Linked DNA regions of Caenorhabditis elegans. The protein of the gene in region 2 purifies or fractionates together with the protein of the main gene of each other region. This does not show direct contact. Each region holds a gene or a part of one and is shown on either strand. Other genes may lie near its edges. The genes, in order: daf-15, vhl-1 and hif-1.

What was found.
Region 1: the proteins of vhl-1 (region 2) and daf-15 purify together in Caenorhabditis elegans (affinity purification with western blotting, with the first as the bait; one study listed by BioGRID). This does not show direct contact.
Region 3: the proteins of vhl-1 (region 2) and hif-1 purify together in Caenorhabditis elegans (affinity purification with western blotting, with the first as the bait; one study listed by BioGRID). This does not show direct contact.

What each region holds. Positions count from the first base shown.
Region 1 is NC_003282.8:9,382,280-9,393,064, reverse strand, and holds the start of daf-15 (Raptor N-terminal CASPase-like domain-containing protein), read right to left. Parts: upstream 6,858-10,785; coding exon 6,793-6,857; intron 6,616-6,792; exon of another isoform or gene 6,609-6,615; coding exon 6,527-6,608; intron 6,463-6,526; coding exon 6,365-6,462; intron 6,147-6,364; coding exon 5,925-6,146; intron 5,809-5,924; coding exon of another isoform or gene 5,800-5,808; coding exon 5,503-5,799; intron 5,454-5,502; coding exon 5,327-5,453; intron 4,956-5,326; coding exon 4,586-4,955; intron 4,530-4,585; coding exon 4,350-4,529; intron 4,307-4,349; coding exon 3,573-4,306; intron 3,505-3,572; coding exon 2,642-3,504; intron 2,596-2,641; coding exon 2,487-2,595; intron 2,056-2,486; coding exon 1,839-2,055; intron 1,797-1,838; coding exon of another isoform or gene 1,779-1,796; coding exon 1,617-1,778; intron 1,571-1,616; coding exon 1,412-1,570; intron 1,363-1,411; coding exon 831-1,362; intron 348-830; coding exon 36-347; intron 1-35. Other genes in the region: nssp-45 (uncharacterized protein), read right to left, coding at 7,466-7,547, 7,770-7,939; C10C5.5 (N-acyl-aliphatic-L-amino acid amidohydrolase), read right to left, coding at 9,950-10,093, 10,150-10,210, 10,257-10,336, 10,379-10,485, 10,534-10,690, 10,739-10,785.
Region 2 is NC_003284.9:11,302,621-11,312,025, reverse strand, and holds vhl-1 (von Hippel-Lindau tumor suppressor homolog), read right to left. Parts: upstream 4,671-9,405; 5' UTR 4,658-4,670; coding exon 4,520-4,657; intron 4,471-4,519; coding exon 4,275-4,470; intron 4,056-4,274; coding exon 3,865-4,055; 3' UTR 3,508-3,864; downstream 1-3,507. Other genes in the region: F08G12.5 (RING-type domain-containing protein), read left to right, coding at 1,804-1,860, 2,270-2,461, 2,763-2,912, 2,965-3,123; F08G12.1 (Rab-like protein 6), read left to right, coding at 6,153-6,282, 6,332-6,438, 6,529-6,678, 7,260-7,489, 7,540-7,657, 7,702-7,805, 7,863-7,997, 8,043-8,086 and 5 more. UniProt on the Caenorhabditis elegans protein: Involved in the response to variation in environmental oxygen levels by targeting the hypoxia-inducible transcription factor hif-1 for proteasomal degradation when oxygen levels are normal (around 20%).
Region 3 is NC_003283.11:20,775,901-20,788,687, reverse strand, and holds hif-1 (Hypoxia-inducible factor 1), read right to left. Parts: upstream 8,282-12,787; 5' UTR 8,187-8,281; coding exon 8,167-8,186; intron 7,374-8,166; coding exon 7,183-7,373; intron 7,057-7,182; coding exon 6,902-7,056; intron 6,857-6,901; coding exon 6,542-6,856; intron 6,217-6,541; exon of another isoform or gene 6,153-6,216; coding exon of another isoform or gene 6,120-6,152; intron 6,025-6,119; coding exon 5,466-6,024; intron 5,363-5,465; coding exon of another isoform or gene 5,160-5,362; intron 4,951-5,159; coding exon 4,623-4,950; intron 4,553-4,622; coding exon 4,296-4,552; intron 4,216-4,295; coding exon 4,043-4,215; intron 3,995-4,042; coding exon 3,827-3,994; 3' UTR 3,428-3,826; downstream 1-3,427. Other genes in the region: Y44A6D.1 (uncharacterized protein), read left to right, coding at 1,065-1,152, 1,226-1,272.

The DNA.
Region 1 (10,785 bases), on a different chromosome or scaffold from region 2:
TGTAATTCAGAAGATGTTAACTCTTTGAAACCTACTCAAAGAGGCATCGATTCGTTTCATCACTAATTTTCATTTGTGATTCCAGTGGAAATGATGCTGATACGAGTTCTGGAGGCTTTTCATAGTCATCACACCATCCGAGAAAATATGGATCCCAGATTCGAACTACACCATTTGTACTACACGCGATAACCATTTCTCGTGACATATCGTTAATAAGAATCAATTGAGATACATAAGATGGGCAGAATGGATTTGAAGCAGTCAAATCGAATCTTCGGAAGGAACGAGTATCTGTGTCTTGGCGGATAATTGTCATCAATCGACCATCTGATGCATACATGCACCTGAAATAGTTTCACTATGAATTCCGTTAAATTTAAAGTAGCATGGGGATCTTGCATTCAAAAAAAACCAAAAATATTCTTAATTTCAGTAATACCACGAGAGAAAAACTAAAAAAATCGAGGAAAATTGAAAAATCCAACTATTTGAAAACTCTATTTTTTTTGTGAATTTCCCTGTTTGAATTTCCTCCAGAATAAGGAACCATGCTAACTATCAAGCCAATCAGCGTCTTCGAACTCCGTTCACCTCTGATTGGTTCGAAAGTGTGCTGATTGGTCGCAGTTATCATTCGGTAGGAAATTCAAACAGGGAAGTTAAATAGTCACAATTGAAAATAGAGTTTTCAAAAAGTTGGATTTATCAATTTCCTCGATTTTTTGTTCGTTTTTCTTTTATGGTATTTCATAATTTCAAGCTATTTCGGTTATTTTGCAGGCAAAATCCTCACTGAAAAGCAATATCTGAAAAGTTTAAAATGTTACCTTCTCAGTTTTGAAGTGGTTAGCGATCGAGCAGGATGAGTAAGCTTAACTCTCCAGAGACATTCATCATATTTACAACTCTGGAAGTCTCTTCCCTCAATATCTGCACTTTGCAACATTCCTTCCATTGCATGAATCGCCCAATCACTGATTGTTGTTGTCGTGACAACGACATCCTCTTGGCTTTTCTCTTTCTTTCCTTCTTTTTTGTCTCTTGCTCTTTTCTCTTCATGCATTTTACGATCCTGTTTTTGAATATCTTTGATTTTTTCTCGAAATTGTTCTGGCATAAATTCATCCTCATCTTCATGTTCCCAATCTTCTGATTTTTCTTCGTCAAGTGTGATTACATGAAGAATTGGTTCAACAAATACTTTACTACACCATGCAACGAATTGTGTTGAGACAATTGGATTTTCTATTACAGTTCGTAACGTTTTTGATTCTTCTTTCACTGCAAAATCTCCAGGAACTGCTTTTGTTCGTCGTGGTGTGAACTCCATCAAAGCTGCATCCATGATGTCTGATTTTCCTGTAATTTTACAATTTATATTGAACTTTTACAAACTGGGAAAACATACGAAAAGCTCCTTTGACAGTTTTTCCTGAAGCAGTTGTTGCCCGATCCTTCTCATCGTTGGCTGATTTGTTCTCGTCGTCATCGGAAGAGTCGTCTTTGGAAAAAAGTTCACTGCTTTGTGTTTCATCTGTGAACGAACTACCAGGAGACAACGCGTTTTCTAAAATTATTATAATTGCTATTTGTTTTATCGAATATACACTAACTATGTTGTTGATTTACATCACCAGGGCTTCCAACTTGAAATTTGACTTTTGATTCATCCTGTAACTTCTTGATTTGTCCTCCTTTTCCTCCTTTTCTTTGTTCCTTCGCTTTTTGCATATTTAATTTTGTGAAGTCAATTCCATCGGCAGAGACTCCAGACTCTGGAATCATTTCGACAACTTTTAATAGAATATCAAAAGTTCCGTTCATTTTTCACCTACCTTTTTCAACTTCTAAATTTCGTTTTATTCGTTCTGAAAGTGTGCTAACTTCTTCTGACGGTCCAACTGGTTTACGTGGCATTTCGACAGTCGCCTTCGAATTTTTACGAGCAATCATTTTTCGACTGAGATGAGCCATTGTATTGTCAATGTTGGCTTGCATTTCGGGCATTCCTGCTTCGACGCGATGCACTATTTTTTGAGCCATTCGGGCAACCTGACGAGATGTATTGGTTGTATTACACAGACGAAACATTTTGCGAATTAGGTGACGATAATACTGTATTCGGTCTCGTCACGACAAATTTTTGTTTAACGCAAAAAGGTATGCGCCTTTAAAGAATACAGTAATTTCAAAGTTTCGTCTCTGCTAAATTTTTGTTGTTTTTCGATAAAGCTTTATAAAGCTATATTTATTTATTTTCAAAAAACTTAAATTTTACAATGAACGCACAAAAAATTTAATAAATTGTGAGAAAAACTATAAAAACTCCACAGAAACCAGAGTTTGAAATTACAGTACTCTTTAAAGGCGGATGTCTTTTTTGAAATCGCAATAATTTGCGTATGAGTAATAAGTGGGAATTAAAATATTTACCATTCTAAGAAATTCTTTTTTTTTTCAAAATCTTTTTTTTCAAAATCTACCCTCTCAATAGGATCCAATGACAATATTAAAAGTGACAACCAAGTTTTAGCAACGGCTTCATTGAATGTTTTCGCTTCCAAGTGCTTGATCTGTACTTTTGCTCGTTCTCTGTAAATTTCACTTTTTACAATAAATCAATTTCTATCTTTCTTACCTATACTCAATATCTTCAGATTCTTGTTCAACACGATTTCCAGCTTCATGTGCAATGTGGTAAACATTTCCTATTCCGTCTTCATGCACAGTTTCTTCAACAGCTGTACTGAACACACTTGTCGACATTTTCTTTCGAATAACTGAAGGTTGCATGAATTCGTTGACTGGTGGAGCACGAGGTCGTCGATGATTTGATGGCATTTCTGCAGCAATATCCAATCCTTGTTCACTGAGATTTTCAGAAGAATTTCGTTTTCGTGGAAGTTTGAACTTAATTTGATTCGATAGTTCCAGTAAGAATTTCACGAATCGTTTCTCGAAATCAAACACAAACCATTGAAGAGCAACAATCAGTTCTTCTCTCACAAGAACAGAACTATCAAACACACACTGGGAACATAGTTCTCCTGCTAGATTTTCTTCAACTGCTGATGCATGCTCATTTGATCTCGAAGAGTTCCTCAATAAGCTTCCAAGTGCAAATACAGCAGCTGCACGAACTTCTGCTGATTCATCACTCAATTCCAAAATCATTTTATCATGAGCCATTAATCGAATACCCTGCCATCTGGCTACATCATAATCTGACCACAGACGACCCAATCCAATCAGAATCCACAGTTTCAGCAATTTGACGCTTCTCGCAGTATCATCGACCATCAATTCCGTACAAATTCCCATGTATCCCTTATTGGTGAGCTCTTTCTGTGCCAGTTTGAAATTATTGGATGTTAGCTGAGCAAGTACGAATGCAGCAACAGTTTTCTGTTTCGGTTTGATTTCAGGATCGCCGAGAAGTTGAAGGAAATATTGAAAACGAAGCATTGTCTTCTTTTCTTGTGGCTGTGCATTCGTTGGTTTCTGAAATTTTAATTTAGTTTTTTTCAAAGAAAGCTCCAATTGTGTTCTAATAAAAATTGTGAGTTTACCATAATTCCTTGCGGTTGTCTAGATTGTTGTTGTTGTTGCTGTGATGGTTGCTGTTGTAGTTGTTGTGGTTGCTGTGGTTGTGGTTGTCTAGGCTGAGCATTTGGTGAATGTTGTCCTCCTGATGGATCCATTTGCCTCTGATGAGCTTGTTGTTGAGCATATTGTAATTGCATATCCAATGCCTGATTCTGATTAGTTTGAAATCTTCCGCCAGTTTGAGTATTAATCTGAAGTGCACGTTTATCCATTGTTAATTGTGCAGGTGGTGGATGATTTGCAAACATGGATGATGGTTTCAATGCAACTGATGGTTGTTGTGATTGTGCTGGTGATTGTTGTTGTGTTGCTGATTCATCGATACACTCATTGAATAATTCCATTTGACACGATGGATCTACTGCCAGAATTTTTGCCCAAATAAACGCTAAAGAGATTTTCAAATCACTAATATTGCTTTGAAGTAGCTTCAGAACATATGGAAAGATTCCAACGGCAAGTGAATATCCGATAGCCCATCTACCAAAATCAAGGAATCGTGCAAGTAATCGTAGAGCTCTGACACGATGTGCCTGACTCAGAAGTACTTGAAGAACCATCGGAAGTTGGAGTGGAGGTGTTCCTTCGTCAACACCGTAGTCTAGCCAAAGTTCAAAAGCTTGTAGTTGTTCTGTGAAGAATGTGTTGTACTGGTGGGTCTCATTGTAAGTCAGCACATGTTCGAAGTCAATGAGCACTAAAATATCAGTTTGTGAATAGTCAAATGCATTAAAATATACCTAAAAACGGGAACACATTGCTTCTATTAATAACATCTCTTCCACAAAACAGTGCTCTTTCGCATTCTTTGACATAAATCAATTCTCTACAATAGTCTAGAACCATATCCATTGTTTGATCCCAGCATCTCCATAAATCATGCATTGATGTGTCTTTCAGAGGAGGCTGCGAAACTGGTACTGAAATTCAAAATTTGTTTAGATTTCATTAAACTTTCAGATATTTTATTACTTACAAACATTGAACTTTGACATAACTCTTTGTGCAAGCAAGAAACTTCTGAACAGAGTTGCCAAAAGTAGATCCTGACGGAAAAGTTTTTGGAACGAGTCACGATCTATTGAAGTGAATGCAATTGTGTCAGTGATGGCAGTGAATATCCAGTTGAGCTCTCCGAGCACAGTTCTTCGTTCAGCAAGATTTCCAGGAATCATGTCCAAAATGTTTTCCGGATACTCATCACGATGCTCCGAATGACTCAAATGAAATGCGAGTGATGTTCGGATAGGCGTGGTTAGACAGGAAGTGAATAGATCAGCTGGCAGATGAGGATTCGACATTGGAAGCCATTGACCGGCACTGCATGCTGCTAGATGGATACAATCCTGAAAAATAATTAGGTACGTGAATTCTTGTGCGGAACCAGGGGTACGCGGAAATTATCGACCAGCATTTTTTATAAAATTTAATGATAAAAATAGCAAAAAATTTGATTTATCGGAAAATAGCTTTCACTTTAATTGAAAAACTATTCAAACTATTCAAAAACGCTAAAAACTTTTCTGAAAGCTGAGAATTGCCGAAAATACCGACTAATTATCGAAATTTTCCCGGAAATTCCAACTTTCAAATAATTTTTGAGCACGTTTTCAATCAGTCCAACTGAAATAAAGTATTTTTTCTTTAATTTTTTTTACGCTGACTCATTTTGGAGAATTGCTGGTCGGAAATTTGCTTATAAAGATTCAATTCTTACATTATATCTGGGATATTTCTCTGGAAAACCTAATGCTTCTGCTTGATCAGCATCTGTCATTTTTGATGAGATTGGTGGTAGATTCCTCTGTTCCTCTTGCCATCGATCAAACCTACTTTGCCAGGATCTAAAAATCCATAATTCAGTATGTTCTTAACTTTTGGTATCAAACAAACATTTTCTGATCTTCTCCAAATCGTCGATAGTTATGAAGAATTGTCTCAGCTGAATGAGTTTCCCAGATATAAATTGTGGGATAATCAAGCCATCCTTGTAGATCGAATATTGACAATGGAATATATTGGGTGAAGCTTTTATTAAATACCCAAATTTCTCCATTATCTGTTGGTTTCGGTACACCGTGTCCGTTGTAGTGAAACAGAACTCGATCATTTCCACTGATTCTTCGAAGATTTGTTGCAACTTTTCTCACGTCATCGATAGGCGGATCCGTACAAATTTTATATCGAGTTCTGTAACTCCTTTTGGCTTTAAGATTGCATTTTTGTTAATTTTATTCATTTTTGTAATTTTTAACCGAATTCTAGAGTAGCGTATTTTAGTCCGAAACATTGGAAATATCCGATTCATCTCTTACTTTGATTTTGGTTGCCACTTTTCATAAGCCCTTTGAGTGCTCAATCCGATCTCTATGGCTGCTTTGTGTGCACCACATTTATATGGATCAACCCATGATAAAAGACGAGAAGGAGCATCTTTTCGAGACGGAGCTTCTGGTGGATCGACTCCCAAATGTAGACACATGATGATGGCGACAGATGCAGTTCGGAGGCGATCACTGCCTTTTCGGCGATTTACGCTGAAAATTATTTATTTTAACTTATAATTAATTTCTTGCCGAATGCCCTTTGTTTTCTGAAATCGTTTTGATTTTCCAAATAGTATAGTGCAAAACAGTAAAAATATTTCATATTATTTACTTTTTGTGAGTTTTTCCATTAATTTGCTGTTTTTTTTTTCGTCTTTCGTCACAACAATATTATTTTAATTTTAAAATGATGCTCTAATAAAACAAACCACTCTTCAATACAATCCCACTCATCTTCCATACTTCCTGCGATATCTTCGACATGTCGGGGTTCTTGTAAATATAATGTGACTCTTTCTACATTTCTCTGAAACAAATATATTTTTTTGTTTTTTCTTGAAAAAATTGCATTATTTAATTAAATTTCTCACCTGAGCATGCCACAAATTGACTGTCAAACGTTCTGCAAACGAGGAAAACGGTGTTATACTCCTATCCTCTTCCATTTTGTGTCTGAAACAAAAATTGTTTGCCATGTTATAGTGCGATCATGTGATCTTCACGAAGGAGTGAGCAAGACAAATAAAAAAATCAATAAATTTAATTTTCTTTGGAAACCGAGTTTAAGAAAAAATATTTCGTGCAAAATTGCATTTTTCTTGTCGGCAAAAAGTGCAAAAACCAAATTGAAACTCACGTTGGCAATGAATTTAAAGAAGACGTGATTCGTGCAAGTGCGCTCCGTTGCACTTTTTGTCTCATTTTGGAGGAAACTCAAATGAGAGTTTCACCTTATTTACGGGTTTCGCAACGTTTTCATCATTATACCGAAATTTTAATTAATCCAAATAAGTATTAAAACAATTTTTCGACAATATAATTAAAACAAAATTAAAAAATGGAAACTATTTTCTATATTGGCTGTGATTCAGTGCTGCGTATATACTAGAGCAGATATGAAACAATGCAAATTTCGGAATATCTTAATTTAAAAAAATATTTATTTATTCGAGTCAATTGACTTTGTGGGATGACTCATGCATATTTATTTTCAACTGTCATATATTTTGTCTCGAAACCAGTGAAAAATTACATTTGACTGCACCTAAATTTAACTTACTTTCTAGAATTCGTATTATCTTAACTTTAATTGTATATTTAAAGGTGTTAAAGGTAAATCATGCTGTGAATATCAAAAAAAAATTAATCTCGAAATTCGAGCCGAAATTCCATCTTTCTCTGAACAAAAGTAAATTCATTAACAATGTATTTTATTCAATGATGTTCTGTTGTCACTGTATTTTGAAAATGTTCTCAAACTTGGTTGGTAATTAAAGATGGAAACAATTATGAATGGAGTAGTTAACGATTCAAGCCTTTGGATACATTCGACGCATACATCCAGGTCCATGGCAGCCAAGAAATTCTGTGCAAACACAACCAGGTGGAGCTCTGGAATTTAAATAGTTATTGTAACTAGCAAATTTAGAATTAAAGGAGACATTCCCAAAAAAGTTTAATGTTTTCAACTTCTAGTTGAACTCATCATTAATAATATTGAATACACATATTTTACCAGTTAAACAGTTTTTATAATAAAATCAAGTTCATGTGCTAACAATGAAAATACAATACATTAAAAACTAATGAAATAATGCGAACTCAAATCAAAACCTCTTTCCAAGATCCGGTGTGATAGATGCAGCGGATGAAGAAATCGGACGATATCTCGGGTAACGAGCCATGTTTGAGCTGAATAGGAAATCAAGTGGATCCACTGCCACTGTTGTTGCACAGAGCAGAAGGAAAACCGTTGGAAGCAAGATTTTCGATGAGAACAGCATCTGAAATTCTAGAAAGATTTCGAAAGAAAATGCATATGTTATGTTGAAAAACAGAGAAGTGGTAATGGGAAATTAAAATAAAGATATACAAGAATGAAGTTCCAATATGTCAAAAAAAAAGAAGATCCCATTATCCCATTTTATATATCCCATTTGTTTGTCCGAATGACCGTATTTTTTCCTTAAGACAATAAAAATATGTGTCAAATGTTTATTTTGTAATTTCATAGTTGAACATTTTTTATAATTCCAAAGATATATAAGATATGAGCTGTAAAGCAGTAAGGAACTAATAGGAAATATATTGTGTGCTTTTATTATTCTATCAAAAACGCTCTCAATTTCTCTACAAGCAAGAAATTGAAACATTTACCAATTTTACAAAATTTTGTAAAGAGACATTTTTGAATGGCTTTCTTGTTAAGCTACATTGACGGAGTTTCGACGGTAATAAAACATATCTAATGTCGGCTAAACATGAATTTCTGCTGTTAACTTGATCATATAATCAGATTTAACAGTAAAATGTTAACTAGATAATGCAGGTGTAACATAATTCTATCAAATGTAACATAGCTCGTTGAATACTGTATTCGTTCTCTGTTTCTAAATAATATGTTAATAGTAAGAAATGAACTCCCATTTGAAGGTTTTATTAATAAATGGTACACTTCAATTGTTTCCAAAAGTGATAATGGAGCAAAACTCGACCGTTTTGGAAATTCCACTTTGAAAAAAAAAACAAGATTTTGTGAGGTTTTTCAATAAACTCAATAATCCGCAATCAAAAACATCCTTGAGCCAAGTGTAAATAAATAAGAAAAGTGACAAAAACCGTAACAAAATAGTAAAAGTCGCCAAGTTTCTAGAAATATCACAAATGTTTTCATCGTTCATTGCACATGAACAAATAGCAACTCAAAATATATCAAATGTGACAAATGAGAAATTGTCACGAGATCATTTATAAATGAAAAAGAATGTAAAATGAAGCTTCTAGTGCTTTTGTCACTTCCTTTCAAGATATTGACTCCTGGAATATATACATCATCCCATTTGTTTTTATTCGAAAGAAAAGCACATAATTTAACAATGCGATAGGAATACCAATTTTCATGAACCAAATAGTCATGGTGGTCCCGTCCCAATGAAAGGAAAAACGTAATAAGAAAAAACAAAAATATAATGGAAGATGTCTGTAATTGAGATGAGTTCAGACTGCAAATGTATAAATAATCAAAAAGTTTTAGAAAAGATAGTGATATCAGGACTTGTTAAAAAATTTCAAATTATTAAATTTTGAAATTGCTCTAATTCTTAGAAGTTTTGTCAACTGGAATTTTCACATGAGAATATGTTAGTTCATAATAATATCATATGAAAAATAATGGGTATAAATCTGAATGCCCATGGGAAAAGTTTTATATCGCTATAGAAACCTGGTTAAATAAAAGTATTCTATTTAACAAATCTGATGATTATTGATAATTTTACCTATTAAATGCACACAGCTGGTCTCACCTCGATTCAAAAATTTTATTATCTATAATCTAGTAAAATTGGCTTGTGACTGAATATGGGGGCGTCCTGATTTAAAAAAAAAAAGAGACTTTTCAAGCTGTTAAAAGAGGTTTGAGGAAAAAACCTACGAGTTTAAAAGAAAATACCGAAGACATATCGGTTTTATAGTAATTTCTGAACAATTTATCACTTGACATTAGCCAGATAGTCAAACAACATCAATTTTCACACTTGTAATTAGCATTTGTAGGTTATATTTTTCTAAAATATGATATCATATGCCTAAATTACATTTTTCTCGCAAAAATTTAAATGTTAATTTTTTTCTTTCAAACACATTATGCAGTTTTTGAAAATGGGTATTCTGCAATCTGAATATGTTGAGAACCGTTGCAACAAGCAGAAAATTATTTTACTAGTTTGTAGAATTGATATACAAACATTTTTATTTATACAGAACATTTAAAAAATACTTTAAAAATTGAATTATTAGACATTGCCCAAGTTGTTGATGATTGTTTGATAAATCTCGAGACCTCTCAAAAATACTTTCTCATTTAAATATTCATTGTGATCGTGTGGAAGAAACGGTGTGTTGATCATTGGGGAAAAGTTAATGGAATTTACTCCTTCCTGAAATAGTAGATCAACTGAATGTCAATTTGAAACTAGCCAATTTTATCACTTACATATCTCACAAATCTTGAATCTGTTGATGCAACCATTATCCCTTTTTCAAATTTGCAGTTTCTGAAATATTATTATTCAAATTATGTCCGTTAAAAAATTAACTAACTCTTGATTCAAACTGTCCTCAAATGCAGCCCAGAATGAATTATCTCGAGTATGTGCAGATATTGGTTTTTGGTCAGAATACTGAAATAGAGCCTTGATTGATTTTTTGTTTCAGAACCTTACTTGGGAAAATTCATAGGTGACACCTTCTCCGGCATTCTTTGCCCATTGATCCAACATTTCACGTATTTTATTAAAATCTTCATGAGGTGTCAATCTCATATCAACATCTTAAAATTATATTTTACATCTATAGGCTGAATGAAAACATTACTTACAAGCTTCAAACTTTTCAGGAATCACATTGAACTGAACTCCACCATTTACAATATTCACGTTCAAAGTCGTAACATCTCCCAGTGTTAAATTTGGATTACTCTCCAATACAACTTTTTGTTCGTTGCGAAATTTTCTGGCACTGGCTAGGAACCGCTCCTAGACAAGTTTTAGTGTTTTAATATTTGCAGAAGGAGTGTAACTTACGAGTTTCTCCATTGCAGTATTCTCCATAAACTGTGATCCATGACCAG
Region 2 (9,405 bases):
AAAGCAAGTTCAATTTGTTCGGGAGTGATGGAAATTCCTGGGTACGTCGTCCTGTTGGCTCTAGGTACTCTCCAAAGTATCAATGCCCAACCGTTAAGCATGGAGGTGGGAGCGTCATGGTGTGGGGGTGCTTCACCAGCACTTCCATGGGCCCACTAAGGAGAATCCAAAGCATTATGGATCGTTTTCAATACGAAAACATCTTGGAAACTACAATGCGACCCTGGGCACTTCAAAATGTGGGCCGTGGCTTCGTGTTTCAGCAGGATAACGATCCTAAGCATACTTCTCTTCATGTGCGTTCCTGGTTTCAACCTTGTCGTGTGCATTTGCTCGATTGGCCAAGTCAGTCTCCGGACTTGAATCCAATAGAGCATTTGTGGGAAGAGTTGGAAAGACGTCTTGGAGGTATTCGGGCTTCAAATGCAGATGCCAAATTCAACCAGTTGGAAAACGCTTGGAAAGCTATCCCCATGTCAGTTATTCACAAGCTGATCGACTCGATGCCACGTCGTTGTCTAGCTGTTATTGATGCAAACGGATACGCGACAAAGTATTAAGCATAATTATGTTGTTTTTAAATCCAATTGCTCATATTCCGGTACTTTAATTGTCATTTCCTTGCAACCTCGGTTTTTTCAATATTTCTAGTTTTTCGATTTTTTTGAATTTTTCTGAAGTTTTTTCAAAATCTGTTGAACATTTTTGATGAATATTGTGTTTTTAGATTTTGTGAACACTGTGGTGAAGTTTCAAAACAAAATAACCACTTAGAAAAAAGTTACACACAAAAAACCAAAAGTGGATATCTTTTTGGCCAGCACTGTAACACACATATATCTATATTTCTCATTTAACAGTGAAAAAGTGTTGTTCCTTGTTAGAAATGAATGCACTAAAGCTTAAATAGAAGGTAAAAATTAACAAATCTCACTCAAACTTCATCTATCTCTCCATACTTTATTTTTCAGCACACCTGCACCGCTATTGGTTTCATTGAAGAAAATTCGCAAAAGTGGATCAATGATTGTTACATTCTATCAAAATCTCCAATCAATTCTACTGGCTTTGATAATACAGTTGATATTTATGAAATTTGTGTTTGACAATGAAATACTACTCAAAAATGCGGTTAGAAAATGATGTCATGTCTGTGACTGTCAGTTTTATACATCAGAAGATAAAATAGAATCATTAAACAATGTTAAAATTAACATTTTATTTTTCGTTTTGAATTGATTTTGTTTGTATACACGTATATTTTGTACCCGTCTCTTCTCTGTTCCCGCACAAATATCAGGGTACAAAGAACATGTTGGAGTATAGAGAAAATAGAGAATTTTAGAGTACCACGGTGTACTTTTTTCTCTGTTCATTCTCTATCTTAATGAAACATGTTTTGGTCATTTAGTCCATTTTGTCTGTTAGTACGATTAATCTGTAGTTTTCCTCTTTTCTCCAATCATAAATGTTTTTCAAGTATCATTCGGACTAATTGTTTTTCCACTTCTTCACTTTTGTTGATCGTTCCAGTGATATTTTTCCTCGTCCTCTTCACTTGTTGTCTCTTGGTTGTTTTGTGTTCCCGGGTTGCCCCCGACTGACTTAATCGTAAGAGATCAACGCGCAAAAGAGACGCAGGCAACACATTCCCTTTCCACATCGATTTCGAGCCCGGTTGTGTCCTTTTATCGTTGCGTTAAAGTTTCTATTGGCCATTTTTATTACTTAATATTTCTGCTTCAGATTTATAGGGATGCTTTCAGGTAGTTAATTCTGATGAAGCAGAACGTGAAACAAAACATGTATGGATTTTTTCGCAGGTTTATTCCAAAGGATGATAAGAAAGCGGATAAAAAAGTGAGTTTTACATCAATTACAATTTTCAAAATTGAATATTTCTGAAGAAAAAAAAACACTTATTGAGTTTTTTAAGTGTAAAAATGTACAAATACTAATAATTTTTTTAAATTGAAGTTTGCGAACGGAAACACATACTTCACTATTATATTCAAAATTATGATAGCTCTCTTTCAAATCGTCACGTTACTTAAATTATTTGAATTCTTTCTTTCAATCAAAAAATACCCGGTTACTTGAAAATAGAAAGACAACCATTGTTTGTTTTTAGAATCCAATTTGAGACCGATTAGCAATCAGAAAAACTTTATTTAACAATTTTCGGGTCAGGTGAAAAACTCTATGGTTGAGCAGAGTTTCAATTTAATTTACTACAATAAAAAATTCGAGTTGAATATATGTATTTCAGCGGGTACTGAAATCCCTAGACGAGGCTGATGTATGCGTAGTTGATGTAGAAACATTACGATGCGCTGTCTGTCTCAACATATTTCAAGGAATCCCTCAAACGCTGACATGCGGTCATTCATTCTGTCATAGATGCATTGAAGAAGTGGCTCATTCGGAAGTGATGAATGATACAAGAGAACCAAACCGAAATGTAAGTTTTGTAAACCGTAATTGTAATTCCTCTATAAGCATGGTCTTGAGAAAAGGGTCTTTGGGTTCCGTGTTGTGTTAGTGAAGCGGTAAATGGGAAATTCAGTTTTGTGCGCACTTTTTACTTTTCAAAATTCGTTTTGTTAGATGGAATATCAATTGATTAATTCTAACAGGAACTCTTGGTCCGCAGACTTGTTTCTCGAGAACATTTCGGGACAAAGATTTTATGGAATATGTATTTTCAAAAAACCGTATGCAGATTTTAAGCTAATATAATAGGATTTCACTCTGTGTTTCAGTCGTTTCACTGCCCCATTTGCCGGAAGCGTGTCAGCATGAGCAAGGTTATCCAGAATTATACACTGAAAAACGTACTGGATAGTATTAACGAACTATCGAGAGAGGAGGAAAAATCAAGAAGAGCGTATGATAATACTTTGGATGCATCAGTGAGTTACATCAATAATAAAACAATATTTGCAAACAATTGATAAATTTTAGAATGAACAACTCCGCGTCAAATGCATTGATTTGGAACGAAAAGCAGATAGTCTAAAACGAGAAATCAACGAAATGCGCAGAAAGGAGTACTATAATTATGTTGCTATAACATTTTTCATTATTGTCTACATTATCCTGTCGACAATGTTTGGAAATTGAATTATTGTATAGCTATTCTAAGAATTTTAGAAGTATTTTCCTTTTTTTTAATTGTTGTTGTATAATACCTATTGAACCGGTTAGATGCTGATACTCATTACCTATGTCCAACTAGTTGTAAATAGGGGTCATCGAATTTCAAATTTTGTTCTAAGTTTTATGCGGTTAAAAATTATTATAATAAATAATGAATTGGATATTAAATTGGTAAAATGCAAATATTTTGAAAGAATATTCCATTTCGTGTTCCGCGTTCTTGTGAGAACAAACAAGCTTTGAATTGCTAAAATCAAAAACAATTGGTTTGAGTGATGATAACAAAAATATTGAAATTGCATGCGAAACTTCATGAATTCTAACGCTGGGAATTGAGCACTAAAATCTGAAATCAATTTATTTTCAGCAAAAAAGCCGTAAGCTGATTTTTCTGCTCTCCAATTTTTTCAATTGTAAATTGTTTGTTTTTGAAATTAGAAAGTCGTGTGTACCTTTGACCATATTAATTTTTCTTGTACTTCAGTCCGAATGTAACATGAAATATAATAAATTATCTTACAGAACATCATTTGCCAACATAACTTTTGCGCTTTTAAAATACTTTACCACAAATGCTAGCAAAAATTGTGACAAAAATGGTGAAAAAATCATTAACAGTATTCAATGCTACTTTTGAGAAAACGACCGTATGGGGAATGGAATTGCTTCTATCATGACAATTTTCGAAACTATATACAATTAGAATCATTGCTGAGGTCTCTGGGGTCCAGGAGGAGGAATTGAACGGCAGACTATTTCGGAATATTCTTGTTTTCTATCCAGAAAATGTTTGACTTCAAATTGTAGTTCTCGTGGAAGTCCTTTGATTTTGTTTGGAACTTCAGTTGGATTATGCCGTAAGAACGAACGTCCGGCAATTTCTCGTAAGGATTGAACTGAAAAAATATTAACAGTTAAAAGTGAGGTGCAAAGAGGAATTAATCGTTAGAAATGGGGAAACATGTGATTCGATTTATTCTGCATTATTACCACTCACTGAGTAAGTGACAACGAAATCGTAAAACTAACGTCGGAAAATTCAAGAAATTGATTATTTATTCAATTGTTTTCTTTTCCATTTTTCTATGTAACCTTTTAAAAATAAAAAAGCCTACCTTTCATTGTGATGACACAATGATTTCGAACAATCAAATTCATTCGAGGAGCTGGCTCCGGCCAGAATACTTCTTTTTCGTTTACCAATACTTTGCATCCATCAAAGGATCTCCTAGCAACCCATGGATGATCCTTGAAAGTTTTAATGTCTAAATACTTTTTTTGGGCAAGTGTTCCGTATTTTGTCGGTTGTTTCTGTAATTTAAGGATTTTATCTTTTTCGTTGTGTAAGAATTAAATTTACTGATGGATTCAGCCAAAACACGTCCACGGGGTAAGCACATCTGTTTAGGAAACGAACACGTATCTCTCGATTGTCATGTGTTGATGAGCCCAAGTCAGGAAATAACCTTCCATCATCATCCATCGAACCGTCTGACATTTTTCTTCTGAAAACCAATAAAAACATATTTTTCACATATCATAATGAATAATTAAACGTTTAAAGTAACACGAAAGGACCAGGTATTAATCAATAAAAAAGACGCTGTGAAAAAGAGGTGGACGGGTGTAGTGGACTGAGGGCCGAGACGGCTGGATTCTTAGTCCCCGGCCTTTTCTTGTTAGCTCTGCCACGAATACGATGTGTAGAACAACCTAAATTGATATTACCTCGACGCTTAATTATTATTTTGAAAATTTATTAATGTACTTCAACAATAATTGTAAAATGTTTTCTAACTTGATTTTATTTATTGATTGAAAACAGAAAATGATGTGTTCGTTGAGTTGTTTTTTTCAAATCTAATTTAGTTGCAATAATTTTGATAAATCTGAAACACAAGTTCCAATAATGTCTGATCAGAAACCAATTTTTTGTTGTCTTCACCGATTATTAGGTTTGGAACGACACAAAACGTTAAGTGCCAGCTCACCGAGGCATATAAACGAAAAGAGCCCTCCTGCAAAAAAGAGGCCTCCCTATTCATTCGGTGGCCACCACGTCTATCCTATTGCCTCCAGTGTATTGCTTGCCGTCGAACACTCTTCTCCGCACACTTCTTTTCTGCCTGAATATTGATTTAAGGGCGTTGCCTTGACCGTACTTTTTGTTTCAGGGATTAACATCAGTTGTGAAGAAAATCTAAGGGTTGCCAGACAATTAAGAAAATCTGTACGCCAGCTTGCAAAAAATCACACAAAAATCATTTTATAAATGAAAACTCCAATTGGATAAAACAAAGACAGTGCTCCGATTGACAGCGGTTTATGACACTTCAGTCCTGATGCAACGTGAGTTTTTGTTTAATTTGGAAAACAAATTATTTAAAATTTTAAAACACAGTCAAAAGTTTGTGTAAGAATACTTTTTAAAACTGACGGATTTTTTTTTTCAAAACGCCTAGTTTAATTTAAATTTCTTCGTTTAAAACAAAAAATTTTAAAAATAAAATGAGGAAAGTTGAATTACAGGACAGAACAAGATGGTCATGACATGGTAGAATAACAAATTCCATTTATCATTTGTTACTGATGATCTTCTGGTGATCCGTTGCGTCTAGGATTTGATTGGATTCAGCTTCAGTGTTGTAAATGAAATAAATACACAGGACCCGTCAAAAAGCTTTGAATAAAGTATGAATTCGTGTTTTTTCAGCGATACGCCAAATGGAACCCCGTTGTGTGAAGAAAACATAAAATTTTCGCTCAAAAAACGAAGTACGGATAATTCAATTTTTCCAATTTTTCCATTAATTCGTTCAATGTACCGATTACAAATAAAAACAATAAGAAATCTTATCTTTTTGTTGTCAATTTTTGATAAGACGTACTGTCTTTCCTCTTGTTTTATTTCAAGACAATAATACCTTTTTTGAATGTTATTTGAGCACTACTTGCACTTGCACCAAACAAATCTTCTTCAAAAAATTATTCAGATGTTCTCCGCAATACGAAAAAAATTGGGTGGTGACAAAGAAGAGAACAAGTCGACTGTTATGCCGTCAGGTGTACAACGAGTCGACGCGGAATTGCAGAGAAAATTCGCTCGAGGAGTACAGTACAACTGTTAGTTTTTTTTCCATTTCACCTGCTTCTGGTAATTAAATGTTTTTAGTGAAGATTGTAATTCGCGGAGACAGAAACGTCGGTAAAACTTGTCTATGGAAACGACTTCAAGGGCTTTCATTTCAAGAGGAATACGTGGCAACCGAAGAGATTCAAGTAAGATCTCGTATTTGCTTGGATATGGATACAGACTTTGCTTGCATCAAAAAATTCAAAATTTGAAAAATACTCAAAGTTTGATTCCAGGTAGCCAACATCAACTGGAACTATCGCGCAACGGATGACGTTGTCAAAGTTGATGTTTGGGATATTGTAGATCAATCCACTAAGAAAAGGGTCAAGGATGACAAGTTAAAATTGGCGAACAATGGGATGGATAAAAATGATGGTTTAGATGTAAGTCTTAAATTGAAAAACTTAAGAAATGCGTACAACTGAAAATAGTTTAAAGAAGAAATATCCTCAGCGAAGAATGGAAATCTTTGAAAGAATTTTCCGACAATGTTTGTACACTGGTAACGGAATAAGAAATCGTTTAAAAAATGCAAAGTGATATTGCAACAAACCGGTTACAGCGCATTTCACGAATAGTTCAGAAAACTCATCGATATGTAGAGTGTGGTATTTGACTTGCGTGGGAAATGATAGGTTGAAAACATAACAACATGATTTGTTAATGCGTATCAATCTTTCTGAGCTAATATTAAACTAGTTTCAGAATCAATGTCAGTGGTTTGAATGGACAAAAGGTTTAAAGTTAAACTAATTTAGAAACATCCAAAATGCCAAAAATTAGTTAAACTGGATTTTGCAAATTCATTTCAAGTAAATTACCGTTTCCACATCAAATGTTTGACATGGGTTCAAATCAAGAAACAAAAACTTAACAGCATGATAAATTTTTGATTTCAAACTAAAATTTCAACAAACACACTTTAATTTTATTGACAAAATCAGTAATATTCCACATATTTCAGTACGAGGACACAGCCTGCGATGCACGTTTTGTCGATGTTTACAAAGGAACAAATGGTGTCATTTTTGTATTTGATATTACAAAAACGTGGACATGGGAGTATGTACAAAAGGAGATTGTGAAAGTTCCGAACAAGATTCCTGTTCTTGTTCTGGCAAATCGTCGAGACATGGGTCATCACCGTCAAGTCACCGATCTACAGTGCTCGACATTTGTTGAGCTGTTCAATAGGTAAGATTTTCATTTTCAAAAATACAATTTATCTGAATTTTTGCTTTCAGTAGTCATCCTTCCCCAGATGGTTCTCCACGTGCTCGTTTTGCCCCGGCATCAATGCGATATGCATTTGGACTAAAATTCGTACATCACTTTTTCAACATCCCTTTCCTTTGCCTTCAGGTATTATTTTGTTTTTACTCAAGTTCTCACTAATGACGTTTCAGCGTGAATCATTAATCAGACAATTAGAAACGAATAAATCAGAAATTGTGTCTAGCTATCACGAGCTTGACTGCTATCAGGAGACCCCAGAGGCCGACTATGACACGTAAGCGCAGTCATGAATATTACGAAAAACTCTTAAAATAGAATTTGAATTTTTCAGTTTTATTGAACTTGTGAACCAGAAGAGAAGAGAGTATGCAGACAAAAAGAGTGAAATGGCAAGACAAGGTGCTGTACAAACGTCTGGAAGAGTCATGGGTGGCGGACAACCAATTCCAGGACAAAGGCTCACGCCGTGAGAAAAATAGGAACCTGAAATAATTACTTTAGAATATTTCAGACCGACGATTCCACGCGCGAATATAGATCAGTCAGAAAATAATGGTACGAATTTACATTTTGAGTGGAAAACTGTCACAGTAAAAAATCGGAAGTCTGTTTGTGAATCTCAGAAACAAATTTGAGCAAAAGTGTCACAACATTTTTAACGTGGTTTTCAAGAAATTGACAGCCTGTTGTGGATGAATGACATACGAATGCCGTGTTTATTTTTTCAATAATATATATTTTTTTAGCAACACAACCTGCATCTGAAACAACCCGTAAACACTCCTTCGAGATGGTTGGTGATGAAGATGAAGACGGTATCAACACCTTTTTAGGGGAAAAACAAGAAACAAAAAACCATGGAGTTACTAAACCCAAACAAAGCGAAAGTGATAGGTAATAGCTGGGTATGGATTATAATCATCAATTTAACTTTTTTTAGTGAGACTGAAAATAACATGGTTTGGAAGTTCGAAGAGGATTTCTCAGTTGACGATGAGTTGATGGAAAGAATGGCAAAAGCTGGAGAGCAGAGAAAAGTACAGTCGAATTTGAAGAAGTTGGCAGTACCCGAAACTGTGGAAAGAGAAGTGTCAACTCCAATCGGTTAGTTTTTATAGTCACGATGATTTGATGTTATTACTTCTTATAAGTGTTTGAATTTCATGTTTACAGCGTATCATGTTAAAGTCCATGACGATGACGTCGATTCGCCCGTTATTGAACAACCGCCAATTGCATCAGAGGTTCACTTATTTCGAGAGAGGAATTTTATAAACAAGAAACATTTACAGAGCTTTGAAAGTCCAAAATTCGAAGCACCACCACCACTTCCTACGAACAACCCCTTAACAGTTGCCATGACGTCAGACGATTTGGATGCTTGGCTTGGTTCTGATGACCAGTCACCAAAGTCAACTAATACGGTAAGAATTTTTAATGTAATATAAAAGCAATATATTTAAAACAAAAAATGTTAGTAATTTTTAGTGTACGTTCAGTAAATAAAATCTAATAACGTGCTCGACCTTTTGTCATTCAATAAAAAAACTAAATTTCCATTTTAAATTCGAAGATTGGCAGTGAACAATTGTATCATAATTTTCAAAATAATTATAGTGTAGCAATTTTTCAGAAAATAAAACAGGCATCTTAAAAACCGGCTTTGACCGTTCGGTTATTTTTGTGAATACTAAATCATTTTCCTGTTTTTTTTTTGAAATTTTACTCCGTTTGTATTTGATATCATACCATATCCATCGAATCTTTAAAGCATTGTTTCAGGTGCCTGAGCAACACAACAGCAGCGACGAAGAATTCGGAGTGGAACTTCCGGAACCTATAACAAAGCCAACATTGGACATTTTCGCACCTAT
Region 3 (12,787 bases), on a different chromosome or scaffold from region 2:
CAGGAAGTGTCCTACGAAATTGTTATTGTGAAATCCTGATGTCGAAAAATAAAATTACTGTGTGTTTCAGAGACCAAACGATGAAGTGGTGAACTGATGCTGCTGAGAAAAGCGGAGCAGTGAAAGTTACGAATTGTTGAAACAAAAAGACATGGCTTTGAATTCAATTGAAATATTTTGAAAACCGAGGAAATGAGTGCTGAACCAGGGGTGCGCGGCAATTTCCGATTGCCAAAAATTCCCAAAACCGTCAATTGCCGAAATTGCCGATTGCCGGAAATATTGAAAACCGGCAACTGTCAGGGGAATCCGCCTGGCGCGCGCACCTAAAGCGCAAAAGGCGCGCTCGAGACGCGCATAGTATGCGCACTGGATGCGAATAGAGTCTGTCAAGAACGAAGCAGGAACCAGAAAACAAAGTAAACGTGCTTTTTTCTAAACTTTATAGACTATTACTATGTAATCAAGAGTATGAATAAGTAAATGTTTAAAATGGAATATTTATTTGCTCGAAGTTGCAAATTTCAAATGGTACACAATTACTAGGAAACTATGGTGATATGTTTGTGTATATATAGATCCGTATATAAGAAAGTACCTGTATATAGGCACTTTATAGTTGTTTTGACTTCCCAATCCTCAAATTCACGTAGAAAAAACATAATCCCCACATCGTCGACGCTCTGTGCGCGGATCGTCCACGCTCTGTACGCGCCCGTGCGCGCGCCCTCCGCAGATCGCGGCCGCGGCCTAGATTTCAACTCTGCCAAATTTTTCAAGTTTTTTCAAGCGTGTTTTTTTCAGTTTTTTTCGACTTTACACATTTTCTATACTTTTTATTTATTTTTCAATTAAATATTAATGAAAAAATTTGCAGAAATTGCATAAATGCCTGGTCAAAACAAATAATCGGAGGACCAGAATGACATAGTTCATCGGTAAGATAGTAAAAACGATTTCTTCGAAATTATAAATAATTTGATAAATACCCGGTCTTCAATATCTTTTATGCATCTCGATTATTTAAAAAACAGAATTTAATATTTTCAGAAAAGCAACAAAATATGGAGACGATTTGGATTCCCCACCTTCACACGGCCCTAGCATATATGCACGAGAGATTTTTGGAGTTGTTTATTCTCCCTGATTCCTGTAAGTTTTTTTTCTTCTTCAAATGAACATGAAAAATGTTTCAATGAATGAAATTAACTTGTTTATTTTTCAGGTCCATCGAAAAAACTTGAAGAGCTCCAACAAAAAGAAGGGAACTGACTGGACAAAGGAACAATTTTTAATTTTGAAGTTTTTAATTTTTTTAACCTTTTCAATTTAATAAAATTAAATTTAAATATACCCAGTATTCTACGTTTACAATTTATTTGGCATAGTAATGAAGGGAAGGGGAACGAGCCGTGGCCAAATTCGTATGAAATGCGCCGGGCGCGCTCCGTCCGCGCGCTCGGTGCGAAACATGCGCGCGCCAGGAGTAGCAAACTGCCGAGTACTTCTTTTTTCAATCACGAAATGATTCAATCCTTGATGGATTGAACGCTTTCTTTTAGACTAACCAAATACTAAAAAACAAATTTTTTTTCGATTTCCGAAAAATACTTAGGCTTGAAAATTGCCGAAAATCCTAACATAGGTTCTAATATCACCGTACAATTTTGTTAAAGAAACCTCAAAGCAGCGAGTCTATGCGGCATGATGTACCATTTCTTCTACAGTTAGTTATTGCAAAGTAAAATATCTGAATTTTCTTTTCCAAACTCAGTAATGATTTGATTTTAAATTCCGTAACTACGAAAGTATTCACTGCATTTCTACTATCTTCACATTATAAATCAATGCTTTTTTGTTTTTCGAACAAAGTTTGAATGTTCCGATTTTTGAGGAACTCTCGTGGGAAATGCTTGCTACAAAACTTTGATTTTTCTCAAGATAGATAGTTTTTGATACGTTATTCCATTTGTATGTATAGTTTTAAAAAATCATATTAACATTTTTATCTCGAAAGTTCAATTTATTAATGTCAAAAAATAATCCGTTTTGTTCCCGCCATTCATCTCATTTTTTCTGCTTTTTCTACTATGCCATTATGACGTGAATGCAAAAAAAGCACTGAGTTTAGGCGGAACCAGCCGCTTTTGACTTGTCCGTCTGAACTGACATTGAAATGAAAAAAGATGGAGAGACGTAAATTTTTTATTGAAAATTAAAGTCAAAAGGGCAGGAGTCAAACATTGGATAGCATACCAACAACCAAAAAGAGCGAACCTATTCAAAAGTAAAGCAATAGTTATTGAAATTTTGATAAAATGAAGAATTCAAAACTTATTGTTCGGTGCTTGGGAACCAAAAATTTCCGACAACCAACAACTTTGGTAAATATCTTTTACCTTATTGTTTAAAGCACTTTGTGTTCAGAAAATGTTGTGTGGTTATGCAACACACCAGAAAGAAGTATGACGTGAGCGAAGGTTATCAAGAGGGCATCAACACGTGTGAATAGAACTGAACTCATTTGTTTGTTATATATTTATTACCGATTTAACCTCATCAATAAATTGTGGGTTCGACTAATTACTACAATTCTAACGGACACAACAGAAAAAATTGCCGTGTACCCCTGATTTGGAATGGCAAATTGAACTAGGCAGTTGTTTTAGTTCCGAAACAGTAGTTTTGATAATTCTAGATCTTGATCTTTGATATGGAATTTCAAACCACTTTTGCAAAAAGAATCGGTTTGATTAGTGAAACTTAGCATATTGAAACTTATAAAATTGCATAAAACCCCCGATTGTCGGAAATTATTGAAACTGACAGTTTTCAACATTGACTATTGCATGACCATTTTTTAGTTTTTCTTGTGCAAAACCGAAAAATCGAAAAACCGAATAATTGGAAAACAGAAAAAAGTAAGAAAATTTTTCATTTTTCGCTTTTTCCACAAAAAAAACCGGAGGTCTGATGCGTATATGTATTCATTATCTATTAATATGAATGCAATACTATTTTTCAAAGCGAATGCATTACAACTAGGTTGTGCAATACTAATTTTCATACGCCTTTTTTGTTTAGGATTCCATGTTTTCATTTACAAGAACAACTGTTTCTGAAAGACATTTTGCAAAATTGTGGTTAATTGGAACAAAAATGCAATAATCCTAGCCTTGTTGTAATTTTGCAAAAAAACATTTCAAAATAAACAGTCTAAATTTTAGAAGGTGTTCGAGGTGCAGTACTACTAAGAAGTGAAAGTCTAATAGGAAGATCGTACGTTTGAAGTAATTTGTAAATCAAGACGAATAGATTTAGACGCGTTTTCACTTTACAAGCTCATACCTCAAAATTTCAGATATTTTCCACAAAAATGAATGCTAAACTCTGTAATAGTGCTTTTTGTAAAGTTTTAAAAAGATGATCAAACCAAAAAGGTTTTATCGAGAAGAAAACGAAGACGGACAGAATTTTGAAAATGAATGAGACGAGAGCATTGTGAAAAAATGAAAAGAAAACTTAACATAAGAAGATTCGTTGTATAAATGATGCAATTAACTATCACTATGGAGATGGGAAAAACGGACAAACGGACACACAGATAGACACGTTTTGTACTACGATTCTTCTTTTTTTTACTAAATAAAGAAATCAGAGGGAAAGGGAAAAAGGAATGGGGGAAAATTTATCGGGGAGGATTCTTGAAACTCATTATTCTTAAAAAGAGCAATAGAATTAAGTAATAAGAAGTGTGACTTGAATGAATGAAGAGTATATTTTTGAAAACAAAACAATGAACAGTTTGAGAGGGGGTAGAAAATAATCAAGAGAGCATTGGAAATGGGGAATAAGAACTAGGCTGTTGTTCATTTTGCTGTTGCTGTCCTTGCCAATATGTCTCGTCTTGTTGGAATGGTTGATAATGTTGAGTGTACATAAAATCTAAATCTGAGGGACCTGATTGGTGCATTCGCTTCGCTGGTGGGCTTCTCTGCAAAAATTAACATAATGTTAGGAGCCAAAAACAAAACAGGCTTACGTCAATGTGCACAGGCCGAGCAGCTGGGGCTTGAGGTACCGCAGGTGTAAAGTCAGGCAAGTCGTAAAGAGCTTGAAGCTCTGGTGGTAACCCCTCGTCCATTTGCATCATATCATAAGTGTCAACGAATGGTGCCAAGCACGATAAATCAGGCTCTTCCCATTGAAGATCGTCTGAAAGTTAAACATTTTGTTGAAAGTTATCTGATTTCTTTCACGAATGAGATTGATTTGAACATTTAAAAAAAACTAACCACAAAGTATTGGTTCGCCAGAGGTTAATGTTGGCGACGAATCGATCCTTTCGGCAATGGCGATAGAATCGGCAAAAGGCATAGTGGAGAACACATCATTGCTTCCGATGACTGGGTTGATGCCTCTAGTGGACGACACATTGAGAGTATCTGATGGTGAAAGGGCGGAAAAGCGTCGTGACGAATCGGACGGATCGCAGCTACGTCCCATAGATCGAGCGTCTCCGTACACGACTTGTCCAGATTTGATACTGCAACTGATACAAGGATATTATAAACATGTACATGCTCAACGTGCTAATTGTGAAAAATGTATAAAAAACTAACCTCGGGGGACTGTTAAGTCCACATTGTGAGATGCCCTCTGCAAGTGGCGAGTAGTTGGCACTGTGTGGCAATGTGGCCGATGCTGACGTGGAAGACGATCCAGTTGTTCGACTTCCCTGACTTTGTGCTCTTCGTCCGTATGATGTCTTCGGTCGGGAGGTACGAGATGACGAATCCATGAAGTCCGGCGAGGCCAGAGCGGAACCGAAATTCGACGGTTCGGTTGTCCTGAAGCGGTCCGCTGACCGGTAGCGTGCCGGCGGCGGAGAGCTTGGCTGGTCGCGAAAAAGCCATTGCAAAACGTCATCGTAGCTGTTCTTACGTGCTCCTGAAATACACACGTTAAGAAATCACTTGCTAAATGTATGGAACTTTGAGTAGGCGTAGGGTAAAAAATAATACGACATGCATGGACAAGTTTGACAAGTTTGAAAATAAGAAAAAGAGAAACTCACGGAGGTATGAGGACAACGGAGGGGAAAACTGCGATCTGTTGTTTTTTTAACTTAGTAATCATAATCCCATTTCCCAAAGTACCTCCTCTCCGCCGTCCTCATCCTCTCCGTCAACTTCCATTTTCTCATTATAAATCGGAGCCAGATCCACATCGAATTCCGGTGCTAAACCGGAATCTTCTATGGATTCTGTATCAGAATCCATATCGCAGTCTTCTATATCATTGCCGGCAGAAATTTGCCCATAAACACGTTGCTCATACTCATCCGTCACCGAATAAATTCCTATATACGTACCTCGTAAATTATTCAATTTGGATAAAAAAAACTTAGGTGAATCAAACTGTATAATTACAAACTTTTAATACGTTCTTAAACATGTACTTACCCATATCAGCCTGCTTAACAGGTTCTTCTCCACCAACGACTGGCTCAATAACCGTATCAAATGGATCTTCTGGCTCGATCAATGGAGTAAAATCGACGCATTCCACAATTTCAGGTTGTCTTCCAATATAGTCTCTTGTATCATCCACTTCCTTCTTGATATCTACTTGCATTCCAGCTGGCATTGAATCAGTGCAAACTACCAATGACTCTTCAGCTCCTTGGATTCCGAGAACGTAATGAACACAAATGACATATTGTCCTTTTTGTCCTTTCGTCGTATGTGTGATTGTAGTAGCTTCTGTTTGAATCCAGGCAAGTGTGTCATTTGCAGCAATCAACCGGTAATACGGGGTACGGATGTGTCCTTTGGCAAAAAGTTCCTTCATGGATTTTGATACTATCATCATATCGGCTGGATGTACCAATTCGTAGAAACTGGTGCCCATGAGAGTCTTCAGCTCACTTTTCAAGATGTAATTGAACTTATCCGAAACGAAAGTGATGCGCATGTCGCAAGTGTGACGAGTTGTGAATGCACCCATTGGGCTTTCCGTGTACTGTAAATTAATCCATCTATATTTTTATTAAACTTATAGCATCTATAAATCTGATTTGAAAAAGTTTTCGAATATACACGCCCTTTAGGACTCACTTTTCTATCTAGGTATTCAGAGTCCCTGCTCATTTTACTTTTGCAAACGGAGCAGCAATACAAGATGTAACATCTTCTCCGTTTTCTCTTCTGCTTCAAAAAAGGAGAAGATGACGCCAAGTTGCATGTGCTTGTGCTTCTCTACTTCTCTCCAATTTTCTAATCCTGTTTTCTATGCGCGAGGTGCCAACGGCTGAGTGTGCTTTGCTCAAAGCACTATTCTCTATTTTAAAGATCAAAAGAACAAACTTTTCGAGCGAGCAGAAGAATAAGAAGAAAATGAAATTGTGTAACGTCTACTCAACATTTTGTCTCACAATTCCATCAGTTTATCAAGAAGCGGAAAGGAGGAGCAGAAATTCCCAAGATCAAAAGTTCAAACTTTAGAATCTTACTATGAAACATTCAAAGCAGATATTCACCTTTGTCATTGCAGATGCATTTGCATTAGTTGTACCCTGTCCAGCAGGAATTGTGATACCTTGCATGAATGACACGTGTCCACCAGTTGAAACTTTTGAATGAACCAGGAAAGACACTGATTTGTACAAAGCACTCTTCAAATTCAGACATCTTCCACGTGGGCTGATGACTGTCTTCATTCGAAGCACCATGTTGATGCCGGTGGTGTCTGTGTCCTCGCCACGTGGCTTGTGCAGCATTTTTGATTGCTTGTCAAACTCGTCATAGTCGGATGGATGAAGAAAGTCTCGAAGGGCTCGACCTGTTAAATCTGTCTGAAAATATATCGATGTTAAAGAAGCAAGTTTTCTATTGCTCACCTGTGTTAATCCTAAATACATTGCAACACTTTCAGTGACGTAAAGAATTGAAGAATCACTGTCAACAATCATAACAAAGCCGTCCAAGCATTCGGCGATGGTGTCTTCAGTCCATACCTCATTTGTGATTTCATTGTCCAAATTGTTTTCCAATACTGAAAGAAAAATATTAATTTGAGAAAAATTGGCAGTGATTTTTGGTCGATTTTCTCAGCATAAAACACGATTTTCAAGTGATTTTTGATGTTGAATCAACTATTTCTTTATTCGATGTCACTTACCATTACCGGCTGTCTTGCGCAGTCGACAAATTGTGGCGGCAACACGAAGAAGTGCAATACGGTCTAGATGAGTTACGGTACCTTCTTCAACAATAGGCACACACATTTTCAGATCATCAAATATATCCGATTCTTTAGACCGACGATCACGAGCCGCGTGTCTCGATGTTTCACGACGGCGTTCCATGTTTCTAAAAAGTTTGATTTTGAATTTCTTGTCACCCCAAAATTGGTGAATTTCAAAAAATTATATACCTATATAAGTACACTTCTCATGAGGTTTTTCGATTTAATTTAGTTTTAAGTATAACTGGGAAAATTTATTTTTTCAAAGGTGGAGTAGGAGGAGCCAGTGGAGAAAGTGTTGAAAACTAATCCAATGGTACTAAAATGACCGAATATCAAATTAAAAATTGTCAAAAATTTTTTGAAATTGTTTATTTACCGTCCGTTAGATGATAATCACTCAATTTTTGCCACTCATAATTTTGGAAGCATAGTAGGGATCGGAACATGCGGCATTCCTCAAATACTTATGTTTGTAAAAATTTTGGCCATTTGCCAAAACTTTGACCGGAAATTATGAAAAATCTAAAAAATTTTTAAGTGTTTTATTATGATTTTTGGTTGTTTCGAGCCATTGTAAGTGTATTTTTTAGGCAAAACTGCCACTGGCGCTACTCCACCTTCAATCACAATTATTTCACAATTTATTTTCATAATTTACTTTATCTAACATCTCCGATTAAAAATGAGTTGTGTCTAAAAAGAGCGAGATATATTTTATATAGATGATTCACATTTGATATTCGATTCGGAAATGCGCATTTTCAATACATCTACCTCTGCCAATGCTCCCTCTCTCTCATTTGCGAGCAGAGCATGGAGCAAACCCAAAGGACTACGGTACTTCTAGCGTTTTCAGGCATCCAATCATGGAATGTTTAAGAATGAATTTCGATTCTAACAGAATTCTAACTCTACCTTTTCCGATTGTCTTCCATCTTGATAGTGAATAGGTGCAGCTTCAGTGAAGCTGAGGTTGGTGTGATTGGGGCAACTTCCCCGTAATGACGGGCAACTTTCAGGTGGGCTGAAAATGTATGACAATTTTAAATTGAATAGAATCGGGTAGAGGGAATTAGAAAAATTGTATCAAATGTTCTTAAAATTATCATTGAGAACATAAGGGGTTGTTAGATTTTCGAATGTTAACACTTTTGAATAAAAAATCAAGTTTAGTTATGATTTATAGCACTAGGGTAGAGTGTAGTGAGACAAATTGAAACATCATAAATACCAAGGGTGCACAAAACGATCGATTGGATATGTTAGTGACAGTTGTTTGGACGGGGTCCCAGAGGACGTCAAGATTTGTAACAATTTCATGGACAATTGACTATTTGTTAGGCAAGTATCATAAGAATGTTGCAGAAAACAAATCATAGAGATCAAATGCTCAATTTAAAACCCAAATCTAAAAACAAGAACTTAGGTAGACTGGAAATTTCGCTGAATTCAATTCAAGAAAAATTGTCAATTTCTTTATATTGAGTGAATACAAACTGATTACAAGAATCATGTGATAAGCCAGTGAAGGAGAAAAGGGCACACAAAAAGATTAAAAGCAAAATTTTCCCGATTCAAAAATATAAATCTGGATATTGATGTTACGTCAATGGTATGAATGGGGCAAGATTGAGGGGGTGACTAACATCAAACTATGAATGAACTACGATCAATCTTTGAAAAAATTGTAGTTGAAGTAAGTCAAAGAACAGGGGAATCACTAGAATGTAGTGTTTTCACCGAGCGTAAACAATAATGTTTTTGAAGATAACTATACTCAAGTTCAGAAAGGGTAGTTTGTGTAGTGATTTTAGTTTATCCTTATTATCAAGTGAATTTCAAATAAAATAGTTAAGATCGGGATTCAATCAATCTTTGGACTTAAAGGCGGTGTAGTCGAATTTTTAATTACTCTATTACACTCAAAATTGTCTGAAAACACCGAATTTTCTAATTAAATTTTTGAAAAGGACACAAAAAAACTATGGCGGCCCAAAATATGACAAAAAAATAAGTTTTCAGCCGCTGAGAGTTGCTCAAATTTTAAAATTTAACTGATTTTAGGTCCTTTTTGAGCCACCATAATTTTTTTGAGAAGTTTTCAAAAAGTTTCATTAAGAAATTTGGTGTTTTCAGACAGTTTTGAGTCTAATAAAGCTAGTCCTTACATCTCATATCACACTTTTTAGCTTAATCGAGAAATTGAAAATATCGATACATCAAGAGAGTGCACAATTAATATAAATCCTCAAAATATAATAAAGAATTGTCGAAAGTTATTGGAACATTAAATAAAATCAATAGTCATATGAAACGAGGGAAACAGATAGTCATCATCAACAAGCGGGAGGCGACGACAAAATGTAAGAAGAAAGATGTTGATAAGACAAGAAATTGAACGACAGTGGGCAAAACGACTTCTCAGAGACTGTCGATTGACAGAATGTTAGACAAAAAATTGGGGGAAAGCTAGAGTACAGAGAAGTAGAGTGACTGATAATTGATTAAATTTAGCGAAAATTGAGTTTAGTCCATATCTTTATAATGGAAAGGATCAACTTTTTCCGATATGTGGTTCAGGAGCTATGTTTTGACATTGGAGTTAAATAAAAATTTAAAATACAGATCAATGAAATCAAACCTATTAGCGTTACCTTTGAACTATAAGAATTAATAGATTTTCTGAAAATCTGAAATCTCTCATTAGAGAAAAACTGAGCAGCTAGTGGGCGGTGCCTACAAACCAAAGATGGGCATCCAAACATTTCTTCGTTGATCAAAAAATGAATTAGAGAAGTAGAGTTTTCTCTGAAAATTGAGAGAGGTGAAGAAAAACCAAAAAAAAGACCTCTCATCTAACACACTCTCTTGACCCAGTAAGTACATAAACCACGGAGACACGAGACAAGCAGGCAGACATATTGAATAGTGTGCGATTTGGAGAGAGTCCAAAGAGATGAGAGAGTGAGAGAACTAAAGAGAGGACAACGTCAGTAGTGCTGTCGCGACAGAATTCCGACGCGCGCGTACATCGCGATGATGGTCAAGAGTACAGAGAGACACTAGAGGGTAGTATAAACGAGGGAGACGCAGAGATCGACATAGAGAGGGAACACGTGGTTTAGAGAAGGGCGGTGCGGTAAATGAAATTGGGATGATGGGTAAGAAAACGTTGAAATAGGGAGGTACACTGGAAAATAATGGAAATTAATTAAGGAAATTTAGATTAAAGCTAGTCCTAAACTAAAAAAATGATGCTAGGTTTAGCCTGACCATCGTTAATATTTAACCATTCGAGTATATTCAGACTTTAAAATACTAATATTCAAATTTCAACCCTAACAACGTTGTGTTTAACCAATTAAAAATTTATTTAGTTTTTTCTCCCTTTTTCCGAAAATTTTAGCATGTTAAAACCTTTCCCAAAAAAACATTTGAGGTGATATTATTATTATGTATCAGCTGACTGTTAAAGGTGGTGTCGTCGAATTTTTTATTGCTTTATTAGACTTAAAATTGTCTGAAAACCTCGAATTTCAAAATGAAATTTCTAGAAAACTTCTCAAAAAACGTTATGTTGGGTCAAAAAAATGACCTAAAATTAGTTCAAATTTGAAATCGAGTTGAAAACGCAAGATAATTAACTGGTATACCCCGAAATTAAACGGTCATTTTGAAAAGTTAGTTTCTAGCCGCTGCAGTCAGTCCAATCTCAAATTTTGACTACTTTTTGTCATTTTTTGAGCCGCCATAAGTTTTTTTGATGTTTTCAAGAAGTTTCAATATGAAATTCGGTGTTTTCAGACAATTTTGGGTCTAATGAAGCAATAAAAAATTTGACTACACTACCTTTGATAGAAAACAACTTTATTTAAAGATTTAAAAAATCAGAACAATTGTTACAAGGATTAAAAACCAATGTTTTCTGCCGAAACTTCATAAGAAAAGAGTCGTAAAATATTTCCAATAATACCCATTGACCGCTCTTTGTTGTTCAGTTTTCTTCTCAACTGTTATTTTTCAGACCTAGTACGCCTAGAACATTCGACTTGTTTTCAAAACAACGTCCCACAATCCAAAACACGTCATTGATACTTTAAAGAACTAATCAAACTAAATTATGGGAAGGGCATAGGCACTTAGAAGTTTGAAATCAAAGTTCGATTTGACCCCTCTCAACTATAATTATAAAGCTAAACAGATGCAACCAGTGGAGGAAAAAGAAATTTTTCATAAAAAAGGTATTGCAAAATACAATTCTTATTAGCTAGAAATTGAATTAAGATGAATTGGACGTGGAAGCACGCAAGGTGACATCTCAAGGGCTTTGAGTCAAGGCATAACAAATTTTGTAAGATCAAAAGACCCTTGTCACGAATCATACGAGCCTCAATATACGGAGGTTATAACCTCAATCAACAACAATTTCAGAGGAAAAATGCGAAGTCGCGCGGTGGCGCCGGCGTCCAAGTCCAAAGAACGAGTAAACTTGAAAGAGAAGAGAGAACATATTTGTGATGCGAGAAAGAGAGCACCTTGCACTCACAAGTTCTCAAACTCAGTTGAAAAAGAATGAGAAGAAAAGAAAGAGAGTTGCACAAAATGCACAAAAAAATGAAATGGAACACACACGAGGGGAAGGCTCTGTATGTTTGCTTTCTGCAACGTTGGCAAAATCTGATCTTTCGTCTTTCAAATGAATTTTGATTAGCAATAAAAATTTAAAGCCTAGATTTCAAGAAAAACTGAAATTGAATTTTGTTTTGTTTTGTTTTTTTTTTTTCATTTTATTTCAGATCCGCAAGGAGGTATTTTGAGGGAACCTTAATACTAGAATGATCATAATCAAGAATATTTTCGTTAAAGGTAGATTAGAGTCGAAAAAAATGTTGCTTTTAATGACGGATACCCTTCTGATCGAATATAACTGTAATTTTTTAGTTTTCTAATGTTTTAATGATTTGTTCAATTTTTCAAAAATCAAGGAAACTACCGAATTCAGTTTGATTCCCGCGCAAACGAGTGACGTCATTTCCGACATTATCACGTATTCTGGCTAAATTTGCCGGTTTTTATTGGTTTTTTTCTTCTATACTTGATTTATAACACTTTTTTTCAATTTTTCAAACAATTTCCCGAAAAAATTTTCCAAAAAAAATAGGAAATCGCCGCTTTTAAGGCCAATTGCTTTCGGGCTATCAAGTTTTCTTCAAGAAAAAAGTTTGAAAGTTGAAAAACAGCGTTTCAAATCAAATATGGAAGAAAAATCAAGAAAACCCGGTAAATTTAGCCAGAACACGCAGAAATGTAGAAAAAGACGTAACTCATTTGCGCGGGAATCCAAATTTGATTCGGCCGACTTTTCTTTGATTTAAAAAATTGAAAAATTATGAAACATTTAGAAAATAAAAAAAGTTTCAGTCATTTAAACCAAAAAAATAAATTCTACTCCACCTTCGAGTATTAAAAATTTTTTTTTTTGAATTAGTACTAAAAATTGCGAACATTTTCAAATCTTTTCATCATGTCAATCGTT